Linked DNA regions of Neodiprion lecontei. The protein of the gene in region 2 purifies or fractionates together with the protein of the main gene of each other region. This does not show direct contact. Links are inferred from orthologs where the notes say so. Each region holds a gene or a part of one and is shown on either strand. Other genes may lie near its edges. The genes, in order: protein HGH1 homolog; DNA polymerase interacting tetratricopeptide repeat-containing, protein of 47 kDa.

Region 1 (7,885 bases), on a different chromosome or scaffold from region 2:
ATTAAACTTATATTCAATTCCAATAGTACAAAAATGTTTTCGTCACTATTGAAACGATTTTTCGTACCAATGAATATCTTATTATTAAAAAATGGTGATATAAAATTCAATCAATCACCAAAAACTGAAAAATTACCAGTACAAAAGGGTCTTATTGTCAAACCCTGCAAAACCGACAAACTGTTCCAACAAATAATGTAGGTAAATTTTCATAGTTCGAACTTAACAAATGAAGTCCTATTGAGTTGCCTGTGGCTTGGGGTTTGGGGAGTTAGCTTCTGGCTTTTTAGGACTAGAGTTGATTTCTTGTTGTTCCAAGCGTCGGTGTCGGAGCATTGTAGATAAGACCCCGTTGAAACTTGCAGTCTTTTTCTTGGCACTACCTTTCGGAGTGCTTTCCCCAACTCGCCGAACTGGCATCCGTGGGGACGACATTTCATCCATAAAGTCAAAATCAGACTTCTCTTCAGTTCTATTAGATAGAACAAGAATATATTTTTCTTTCTACTTTGCAAGTAACTTTTATCCATCAATAAACTTTTCGCTTGTATTAGTAGAAAATAATATATTGGTCATATTATACTGTATATTATGTTTGTATAATTTTTAGATAAAACTCATATTTCTATGTGTATTTATATGAAAATCATGATATCAAATCATTTATATGTATATATTTTGGTACAAGAATGATATAACATGCATATATATTAGAAACTGTTGATAATATAAAAAATTATGCTGCATGTCTGTATGGAATTACATAATTACTTACTTATAATCCTGTGAAGTGTGATCCTGTTGACGATTATTGGTGGGTACTGGCGAAGGGCCTCGTCTTCCTGGACATTTCCATTCCAGTTCAAGAATATGATGGTTCACCTCCAATCCTTCAATCAATGCCATTATACTCTCTGGCTGCAGAGTCCATTCGTTCTGTGGAATTAAAAAATTGTTTTACAAACTTGACGATATCTCGAAAGGCTTGAGTCGATATCAAAATTACGAATTAGGTCTACACAACTTTCCATACTCTGAAACTTGGAAAATTTACAATACTCCATTCTAACTCGACTCGCTATAATTTATTGAAATCATTATTGAAAAAAGTGTTATTAGTACCGCTGTAGTTGCCTCATATTTTTCATCGTCAGAGCATTCGACTGACCAATCCTCGTCGCTCTGTTCCATACTTATGAAAAATGGTCAAATTTTCAACATGTCATATCCAGTGATTTAAGGTTAATCCGTTCAACGTCCGAATACATTCAGACGGGACAATTTATATTATTCTAAGGCATCCAGCGTTCAATGCGACTTTGGCATTTGTTGCAAACCTCAAAGATCGCCCTAGATTACTTTATTTCTACTATAAACAAATGTTCGATCGAATCTCAGACAACCGGATTACACTTGTATTTTACGTTACTTTATGTCACGTTACGTTACACAAGGGCGTAGCCATGTCTGTTTGGTGGCTTGGTGCTTTGCGGCGCGTTGTCTACTACGTACAGTACAAAAGTAATCTCAGACGGAATCCACAAGCCGTACGCACAATTCAGAATCTGCCAATGAGACCTGAGATCATTTTGTGGAATTATAGAGAATAATGCGTGAATTCCATAATCCCCAAGCAAAATTTAACAATCAATGGTACATGTAATAATTCCATGTGATTCAACTTTCGGTATCATATAACGGCACCGTGGAGTCAAGTTGCGTTTAGATCTCGGTTAAAACATATTGTGAAAGTCGTGCTAATGGAAGCAATTGAAGAAATATCACAATTTTTAGACATTGGAACTCGGTTGGATTTAAAATCCATCGCTTTGCAGCACGTGCTGAGTAAGTTTATTACCCTATTGATTATTCATTGACCAATATCAATAAGTCTACATTAACCTAAAATATCATATCATATTGTGATGTTCTTGTCTTTGAGCTTGTAAGAAATTAATTAGGACATTTGTTAAATAACACCTCAGGGCCAAAAATCATAACATGACAATAATCGTCCAATGAAGGAGTTATCGAAGTGAAAACTTCTTTAGCGGCGCTTTTGTATGAACATATATCGTAAGAGATTCAGTCACGCCACATGGAAATTAAATTCAGTCGAGGTAGGCTTGAAGATGAAGAGATATCTTCAGTATCAACTGAGATACATGCAACAATTCTGCCTTCATCGACCAAGGTATTTCTGCAATGAGTCTTTGACTGAAGATTATTAAAGGCAGCAGGTAAATGTAAATGACTTATGTGATGTCAGCCTGCGATTTTTGAATTTTTCAAATGATTTTATACCAACTAATTGCTCCCCAACTTCTCTTAATTGCTCTCTAAATTTGATTATTTGCATTCACACGGTTCTCGAGAAAATCGCAAAAAATGCATCTTCGGCAGCCGTCAGGTGTTTCAAGGATTTTAAAAATCCGCAGAATTTCCAAAGAATTCATGTACCAAATAGTTGCTCTTCAATTGCTCCCTAACTTTTATTATTTGCTCCTACACAGTTTTCAACAAAATCCAATTAAAAGAAAAAAACTGTTCAAATTCAAAAAAGTGTTTCGAACAAACTGATGGTTATTCAAACGAAATGATATTTGCTTTCCATTGTACCTTAATTACTCCCAATCTTATGTTATTTTTGTTAATTGCGTCTGCGTGGTTTCGAATAAATCGAGAAAAAACGAAGAGGGGCTTTTCGCGAAGCGTTGTCGAATTCGATTTGATATATTCCCTAAATTAATATATATATATGTATAATCCCTTAATTTCTCCTGGGCATCTCGTAATTACTCCATAAGTCTTATAATTTGCTTCTTCATAGTTTTCGAGAAAATAGGTAAAAAACAAAGGGAGTAGTTTGGAGGTTATATCGACGAGCGGCAGATTTACACTGAAATCTCCTATATAGAAATATTCAATTCGGCTCAAATACATATTGTTTCCAATTTCTTCTCGATTTGTTATCAATTATATATCAATTTTGTCATTTCCTCCATCGTAATTTTTGAAAAAAACCGGGAAAAACATCACTGACTGATGGTGTGGCCGAGAGTCGAATAGTTTCAGATTCAAACTCGTGTCCGTATCGGAAAAATAATAGTTCGGCCCAACTGCCAAATGCTCGTCATCGCTCCTCGATTTTTATAAGTATTCTGTCAGTTTAGTCAATTGCTACTACCTAATTATGGAGAAAACTGGTAAAAACTAGAGCAACTGGTTTGTAGGTTACGTCGACGAGCAGCGGATTCGAAGTTGTATCCGGGAATGCGGTTTGATACTACAGAAATCGGTTCTACAGAGCAAATGTTATACAGAATATGTTCTACAGACTCATTTCTACAGAAATAATTTTTCACATCAGGAATAATCCCATGAATAATCCTGCATGAATTATTCTACAGAAGAATTGTTCAACAACATATTTTTCTACAAAATATTTTTCTACAGAACATTTTTCTACAGACAAATTATTTTACAGAATAGTATGTTTGACGCAACACACTTTCAGAGCAATCATCGAATCGTCAAAATCATATGACTCGACAATTTCGTACATTTTGATTTAATTTAATTTAATTTAAATTGTTTTTATTGAATTTATGTGTGTGTTGTGTCAAACGGGTATTATGTTGGATGTGTGAAACTAGAAAACTATTCTATAAAAAAATATTATGTAGAACAATATCTTGTAAACTGATTTTCCTGTCAAATAATTCATGCAGGATTATTTCTGATGTGAATCTCGAATTCTCTTCTGTAGGAAAATATTCTGTAGCAAAATATTTCTGTAGAAACGAGTCTGGATAACATATTCTGTAGAACATTTGCTCTGTAGAACTGATTTCTGTAGAATCGATCCTCTCCTATCCGGAACAGGAATAATCTCGATTTGGCCAAAGTGACAATTGATTATATTCGCTCCTTGATTGATCTTCACGCATCCACCAATATCATCCCAAGAACATATTGCTTCTAATTGCTCCTCGATTCCTTATTCAATCGTCAAAACTATGTGGGAGCAAATAATAAAATTAGTAGTACGGAAATAGCTATCAAGGAATAATTTGAAGCAAAAGTCACTTTTGCTGAATCGACATGTTTCTTGTTTCGGATACTATTTTGAATCCGCCGCTCGTCGACGTAACCTACAAACCAGTTGCTCTGGTTTTTAACAGTTTTCTCGATCACGAAGCAGAACCAAATGACCAAATGAACAGATCACGTATAAACAATCGAGGATCAGTTAGAAGCAATATGCACTAGGGTGGAATTATCATTTTTTCGTTAGAATCGAGAATTTTCCACGACTCGACCCTCGGCCACGCATGAGTCACTTTCGTTTTTCCCAGTTTTCTCGAGAATTACGGGGAAGTAAACCGTCAAATTGATAGATAATTGATAAGAAATCGAGGAGCAATTAGAAGCAATATGCACCTGGGTCGAATTGATAATTTCTTGCTGGGGATTCCAGTTTAATTGTAAGTCTCCCGTTCGTTCGTATAACTTCCACACTGGTCCCTTTATTCTTTCCCAGTTTTCTCGAAAATTATGATTGAGCAAATTACGAGACTTACGGAGCAATTACGAGCTGTCAAGGAGCAATCAGTATCAAATGTCATTTTATTTTAATAATCATCGGTTTGTCCCGAACACTTCTTTGAATTTGGCGCTATTACCGGGGCTGACGTGCCCGATGAGTTTTTTTTTTTTTTGATTCTCTTGAAAACCGTGTTATGTCTGTTATGGACTATTGAACTGGATTCTTTCCCTCTTAAAGTAAATATACCTGATGGGTTGTTGGTAGGATATTAATCAATAACACAGGCTTGCGATGGTTCCCTCCCCGTAAAACTGAGTAGTATTTTTATTAGGTATTAGGAACGGATCTGCGAAAAAAAACATTATAAAAATTCTATCGCGTAAATTTTCTTTGATGGCGAGTAGCGTGAGGCTACATGGAGATAGGACAGGATAGAGACTAGGTATAACGCGACGTTAGAAGTGTGGGAGAGTTAGCAAGTAGGAGCAATAAATAGGAACGACGTGTGGCGGTACACCGAATGTAAGAACCGTATAAGAGTGTATAATAAAAGTTAGGGCGTAATTCAGAGTAATTAAGGAGCAATTATTTGGCGCACTATTTTTTGAAAAATTCGATGGTCGCAGGCCAACTTCACACATATAGCTGAATGGGGCATTTTTAAGCTCCGTAAAGAAAGTTCTTATCGTAACATACTCGAATAACATAAGCCCCATAAGCAAGTTGATAAATGTAGGGCACTATGTAATTATCGCACCCGGTGTGACCTAGTAGTTGCTTTCAAAGGATACCCGTGACCGGCTGTTTTTAGCAATCCTCCGGCAACGTCAAGAGCATTGAAGATAGGGGGATAATAGCATTGCCCTAGATTTAGTGACTCGTTCATGGGACTTTGAAGCTCTTCACCCCATCCCCTATCTAGTTTCAAAAAGCCTCATTTATCTGGCTGCCAGAGATGTGACTATTAGCAATCTTCGGTCAACGAAAGAATGCATATTTTGATGGGTAAAGCCGAGACCAGTTACATGCTCTTCATTATTCTTTCATATATGACGGGCACAAAATATGAATTGACTAATTACATTGAATATAGTTTTATTGTTCACGAATTATTGTTTTAGGTGTAACAGGCAGCAATGATGGAATTGAGCTGTTATTGAGCTTACCTGAAATAGTAAGGCAACTTGTTCTGCTGGTACAGGATAATTCAACATCAGTCTGCAAAGATGCCGCTCTTTCATTGATTAACATATCAGCTTATGATGGTGGAGCGAATGCATTACTGGTTATATCAGAGACATCGAAGATGAGACCAGATGAAAAACCAAATGATAATCTAGTACATACTTGCCTTAGGTAGTAGATACACTTCCTAATGATAATCAACATATAATTGTAAAAATATGAAATTGCCCTCATCAGTTCTCAGTTAACTAAACATAGATTATAACAAATTTATTTGTTGATAACAAAAGGCAAAAAGAAAGAAGAACCTGGATAAGCATTGTAATTGTTTCACCAAGAAAAAAATTCAGTTAGAAAAAATAAACAATTTCATGCAGTGATTTTCTCAGTTCATGATGAACTATTTATTTTCAAATTCTTTCCAATGAAATTGAAGTTATCAAATTAACGTTTTTCTACTTCCTTTTTAGTAATCTGATAACAATCGAACACGTTTGGTTTCTTTTGGATTAGGTATAATAGAAAAATGATCATGGATAGGATTTGAAATTTTTTTCCGACTTATAGTTCTATTTGTTATTTGCAGATGCATTTTGGATAAGCAGAACGACTTGGCTGACCCATGTTGCATGATTTTGTCTAATTTAACGCGAGCGCATTCTCTGACAGAAAGAATTTTAGCGGTAGTTAATAATAGCGGTTATGCATGGAGCGCAATAATTGCCGCCTTTACGGCTCAGAAATATAACGAAAAGGGAGCCACCCTCCATTACTTAGGCCCTGTTTTCAGCAATCTTAGCCAATCTATTACCATGCGAAGGTATGTTCTCTGTACAAAGTAACGTTAGTAAAATGCCAATTATTTCTAAAATTGCACAAAGTTACAAAACTACTGTCAAATCTTCTGTCTATACAAAGAAAAGTTGTTAATATAGATCAGCTTACATTTTTCTATTCTTTTAGATATTTATTGGACAAAGAACATTGCGTCATTCAAAGACTTCTTCCCTTCACAGAATATGTTGAAAGCACGGTAAGACGTGGCGGAATTGTGGGCACATTGAAAAACTGTTGTTTTGATACGGAATACCATGCATGGTTATTAGGCCCTAAAGTGGACATTTTACCTCGACTTTTATTGCCCCTTGCTGGTCCGGAAGAGTTCAACGACGATGATAATGACAAACTTCCGATAGAACTACAGTATTTGCCTGAAAACAAAACTAGAGATTCCGATCCTGACATCAGGTAAACCGGAGAAAGATACACTAGAGAAAAAATACAGTTTTAGGATTCTGTGATAACATATTTCGTTGTATATTATCTTCAGAACAATGCTGTTGGAGGCTTTGGCTCAACTATGCGCAACAAGGGAAGGCCGTGAAATACTGAGGGATAAGAATGTATACGTTATCCTGAGAGAATTTCACAAGTGGGAAAAAGACAGAGCAGTTCTATTGGCGTGCGAAAACGTTGTGGATATATTGCTCAAGTTAGTTCTGATTTTTAGACAGTTTCTAATTGTTTCTGAAAAGTGAAAAATTTTAGTAATTTCTCGAAATTTTGAAGACCTTTCTCAATTTATATGCAGAAAATTAATGTCGGCAGATTTGTGGAAAAAATTTGCTACGTTTGAAAACTCTCTGAAAAGATTCCGCAATTATAGTTTTAATGACTATATTATTTTATGAATGTCCAGATTTTCTCAGCTGCATTTGAGATGGTTTAATTTCAACTGCTTCTCAAAAGTTTTTAATTACTCTCACAAAGCCATCCCAATTTCTCCTAACGCGTTACGGTCGGAAAATACGAAGAACCACTAGAACTCGGAATTTTTCAGATCTGTGATACAAAACGGAGTTCTGTCAAAATATGAGTTCTTTCTAGAAGTTGATTCGACTTTCACCCCTAACTCGATTCTGTCAGAAGCAGCCAGATGAAATAAAGTTTTTCATATTTTTGACAAAAAAACATACAGTTTCGAACAGAATCCGAGTTGTTATTGGAACAATTCAAAGTTTTGCTGAAAAAAAAAACAGTATTTTTCTCAGAACTGTCCGAAAAAATAGTATATTTCTGTGAAATATCTTCAAAAGACTATAAGAAGTTTTTGAAATTTTTTTACTAGTATCATAATGAAACAATAAAACA
Region 2 (4,925 bases):
TTCAGCAGAAGAGATTATGTTCATCATTTTAGACTAAAGGTTTTCTGTGAGATTGTACTCTGTAGAATAAAACTTTTACAGAAAAAAATCATTTAGAATATTCTGTGTACAACTTTTACTCTGTAGGATAGGTTTCTGTAAAACCGGTCCACAGCCGTAGTATTAAGCGCACTTTCAAATTCCCGGAAAGAAAAAGAGATTCGAGAGAGCCACCCGCTAGTAGGTGCAGTAAAACACAATGCCTCCTATTATTGTCTAAATTGCGAAATATGTACCGGGTATGATTCGAACGATAAAATTCCATTCAACTGCAGCAAATATTGCCAATAACACGCTCGATATTGGATATGTCTCTATTTATATTTCGAAGAATCCTTTGTCCTGATAGAGTAAATTACTGCAATAACTTGTCTAATTTCATCGATGCAGAATATCACATAAAAGAGAATGCAATAAAGGCGGGTTTCGGATTATAGGTACGTAAGTATCAAGTTACTATTTATCACGATTTCACGCCTTTACTGTAAAATGGAGTTAAAAATCATAGCGATGTTCGTCCTTGATTTCTAACTTTATCGAAACTTTTTGCAAACGTAATACAATAATCAATTAAATCTCAAAACTCTCACCTCTGGTCAGCCAGAATTTTTCCAAGTGTTGCTTCAACGTCAATTTTGTGAACAGTGCGTTTCCCTTTACCCTCAAAATACACATTTAAATTTTCTGGATAATACCGCCTTCCTGTGTCCCATCCCGGAGGTTCTTCAAACAGTTCTTTCAACTGGGTTATCAACCTGGAACATAAACCACCAATATTTGAGTATGAAGTGAAAATACAGTAACAGCAAATATGCGGTTCCCAGCCAAACAACGGCGTGTAAAGTTTTTATCAATTACTGCACCAGATTTTTCTAAATGCTCAAGTAGATCATACTGCGTGTAAATGTGGTTAAAGGCAGCGTTCAAATGTACAACATCAAACTAATTTGAACTACCAACTCCTTCAGTAATTTTCATCCTAGTATAAATAGTTAGATTTCATCGGGTCCAAGAAAGTGGTTTAATACGCATGGCATTTTTTCGGTTGTTTATGCAGTATAAGATAATTGATCTTATCAATGATAATGATAGTAATAATATTAAAAGTACCTGGTATCTTCGTGAAATTCTTGAATGAAATCTGTTTGTTGAGTTTCTGGATATAAAATTATAACGGGCCAAACCAGACGGCCGTCTTCCATCAAATGCACTCTGTTCTGGGCTATTTGTGGTATGCACGGTTCAAGATCAGATAGTTGCAGGTGTCTCTTCCCTGAGTCCAATTCGATATTCACACCTCTGCTCTGAATTATTTCAAGTAAAGTCTCCTCTTCTCGGTCAATTTTCTTAGCCAAAGCATCAGTTCGACGTTTATCCCTCTCCAATTTTTTCTGTAAATTTTCAATAGTTTTTCAACAGTGTGAGTATTCAAGGTTATAGCTGATGAGCTCAGTACAGAATACTGTTGTAAACCGCATCTTACCTTGTTAGCTACTGCTTCATTTCTAAGATTTAATATCACCTTTTCCGACGGAGATTTTTCGAGAAATTGATCACAGTAAGTAATACATTGATCATAGTCCTTGATCTGCGAACAGCAGTTTGCAGCTCTGTTTAATGCTTTTGGATAGTCTGGCTTAAGTTTCAAAGCATGTTTGCAATCGTTTAAACTTGATCTGAAATTTTCATAAATGCAGATATTTGTTAAATGAAAAGTGGACTAGGATGAAAGATATGTTTTCTATTAAAGTAACTAGTGCCTGGACCACTTGGATTCATTCCAAACATGGCTTACTTTTAAAGCTTAAATAATTTCGTCAAAAAATTAATCACTTTGATCTCCACAGTATTTGGAAATATGAACTGAACAATGACTATGATATAAGAGATATATTTACCGGTAATTCTGAAGCATGTAATGTGCAGCAGCTCGATTATTATAAAGCTGAGCCATTAAATCACCATCTTTACATTTAGTTCTGATGCCTTCTGTGTACCCCATTATAGCTAGACGGTAGTTCTTGTATTTGAAATTGAAATTACCATCTTCTTTGTAGTTATTTGCTAATTCTGAAATACCAAACCACAGAATTATAAAAAAATGCCTTCTTCAACACCTTGGGCTTACTATGACGAGTTTCTACTTTCCGTACACTGTTTACCAAAATGATATGCATTATAGTTTATGATACTGAAACTGGCAGGTAATACCTGTGGAGAGCTTACAGGGAGTGAGCTAACGATAAAATATTAAGGAATATATTCGAAAGAGTTCCCTGAATAATTCTGCCGTGTTTCATCATTTGGTCATCCCCTGAAACCTTTCCGCCTGTATTACCTGCTAACTATTACTTGCTAGTTTCAGCTTTATCTATTGTTTGCTCACCAACCTTCGGGAGTATTTTCGTTCTCATCATATTTCAACTGTTGCAAGCCTTCCATTAGCGGTGATAATTCGTCTCCAACTTGGGGAGCTTTTTTCATGAAGAAAGGATGCTTATCCATTTCGGCTTCCCAACGATCTTCTGGCCATCCTTCGGTATATTGTTTTTGCTCCAAGTTATTAATATAGTCATCCAACTCAGCGTCCAATTTAGCGGCAAGTTCTAAGCGCTCATTTTCGGTCCAAGACTTTTTCTTGGCATTATTTATATTTTCAGCATTCATTGTTAATCCTAAATGTAAGTTGATGAGTATGAAAAAATATCATCAGATTCTTGCAATACAAAGGTATTACTATTGTTACAGGTTATGTTCAGTCATGTTGAAGATATATTAAAGTGATATACTGATTTTGATTTAAAAAATGTAACCTAATAGTGATTATAACAATCGTAAATTAAGTAAAAGTACAAATATATTGATTCTTACGGATGTCCTGCAAAAAGATTCATAGAAATTGAAACTAAAAAGACATGTACCGTTTGCACCATAACCTAACTTACCTAATCAAAGAATCGAGCAACGGTTCAAAACTGATTTTAAGTAAATATCTATTCAAAAAATAATATTATAGTGACGAAAATTTGTATGCTCACCTATGACTTCTCTTATTGTTCATAGAAAAAAGCACCCAGATGTCGTGCGTATATTTTTCACTGACTCTCAATCTCACACGCTTCACACACGTCACGCAAGCATGGCAAACACATGGCTGCTAGTCGTAAGTACAACATGTTGAATTCGCATGACATTGAGTCTGAAGAAAAAAGCAATACATTGAGGAATAAAAATGCTACCGTTAAAAATACATTTTATTTCGTATTAGGAGACAAATTTAATGTATTACATGTTTATATACACACTCGCGTCTGCAACTGACCATGAATATACACATAACTGGGCATTAACAGTTTGAAATAAATAATGCACACATATTATACGTATATTCATGTTGGAGTACACTGTTTAACAACATTATGTATACATTTGTGTTCGTGTATCACAATGTCACTTCACTATGTTCAGATTCAAACTGAAAAAACATAACATAATGTTATTTTTGTAATTGTTAAATAGAAAACATTATTGATTATTATTTACATTTCGATTCGTTGGAAGTCCACCTTGAAACGATGTTCTACGCTGCACTTAGTATTTTCCTATAGTCTAATAGTTATTCTTAATAAGCAATATAAAAATCTTCCTTGCAATCCAACCTTGTATTAAATAGCTAAATACAGGACATTGCTCCTCTACCCATCATAATTCCCGAATAACGTTTTTTTTTTTTTTTTACTTTTTTTTGTTATCTTTTGTCGTATTTTTTGTAAGTTTATTTAATTTTTTTGTATATTCACACAAAATTTGTACAATATTGCAAATTTGTGGAATATATTTTTAAATAATTTTTCCGCTCTCAGCGAAAACTATCTAATGATAACTGTTTTATCATAAATACAATAATTGATTGAGTTAGTACGGGTTCTTATGCATGTTCAAAATTATCATATTAGATTTTGTACAAAAATAATAATAATCGTGGAACTACTCTCAGAACCATGTACATGTGTCTGGAAACTACAGCCTAGCAATGGTCGTTTAAAAATTGTATAATTGATCACTTTGAATGACATTTTCAAACTACATAAGATATCCAACTCGCTACTAAAGCTAATGTAAGCCTTTCAGCTTTCTCGGTATAATTATTAAAATGGCCACAAAATTGATTCTACTAAAGCAGTAAACAATGGCTGTTCAAACAATGTTAATTCACAAATTAAATTTTTGTTTATTTTTTCGTGATTCTCTGAAAACTTCGGTATGTTTAATATTCTGTATACGTATATTAAGTTTTGGACGATTACATCGTCGTTAAACATTCTGCACTTACGCTTTTATTGCAAAAATCTTGACACCAGTGCAGTATTCAATAATAAATAAAATTTCAACTAGTTCAATATCATAATTCCTACATGATTTGAAGCTTAATAAAGAAACAAGAAAATATGTGTATACAACACTGACGAAACACAAAAAATAAACTTCATTTATATGTATATATGTATAATAGATGTGTATGTTATATAAAGATTCAGACGGTCCGTAACACGCGCACATATGTATTTGTAGGTATACGCATTTAAATACACATGCGCGAGTGGATCGTTATAAATATCGATAACTGATTGTTAATCACATAAGTTAGAAACTTAGAAATCCTTTATCCTCTAAAAAGTAATTGTAGTTTACCGTCCAGTAAAGGATATACGTTATATTATGCGAACGTTATAACATTGGTTGGAATTATTGTTTCTTTTGAAAATAAATTCTATAAAAATTATAGCATCACGAATGTTCTAAAGTAGGCCTACAGTTATTTGGTTCTAATTAGCAATTTCAATTTGTCTTCCTTAAATGCGAGTTTTTGATATGGCATATCGAAT

What was found.
Region 1: the proteins of DNA polymerase interacting tetratricopeptide repeat-containing, protein of 47 kDa (region 2) and protein HGH1 homolog purify together in Homo sapiens (co-immunoprecipitation; 4 studies listed by BioGRID and IntAct, counting the BioPlex papers as one, with this or other methods). This does not show direct contact. The link is inferred for Neodiprion lecontei from reciprocal best matches to the Homo sapiens genes TTC4 and HGH1.

What each region holds. Positions count from the first base shown.
Region 1 is NC_060261.1:15,413,912-15,421,796, reverse strand, and holds the start of protein HGH1 homolog, read left to right. Parts: upstream 1-1,710; 5' UTR 1,711-1,760; coding exon 1,761-1,845; intron 1,846-1,901; exon of another isoform or gene 1,902-2,240; intron 2,241-5,360; exon of another isoform or gene 5,361-5,538; coding exon of another isoform or gene 5,539-5,554; intron 5,555-5,670; coding exon 5,671-5,905; intron 5,906-6,320; coding exon 6,321-6,554; intron 6,555-6,697; coding exon 6,698-6,982; intron 6,983-7,064; coding exon 7,065-7,226; coding exon of another isoform or gene 7,227-7,230; intron 7,231-7,885. Other genes in the region: PAXIP1-associated glutamate-rich protein 1, read right to left, coding at 238-472, 776-936, 1,123-1,191.
Region 2 is NC_060260.1:27,849,874-27,854,798, forward strand, and holds the start of DNA polymerase interacting tetratricopeptide repeat-containing, protein of 47 kDa, read right to left. Parts: upstream 3,220-4,925; 5' UTR 3,078-3,219; intron 2,715-3,077; 5' UTR 2,707-2,714; coding exon 2,430-2,706; intron 2,110-2,429; coding exon 1,938-2,109; intron 1,716-1,937; coding exon 1,523-1,715; intron 1,431-1,522; coding exon 1,150-1,430; intron 795-1,149; coding exon 630-794; intron 1-629.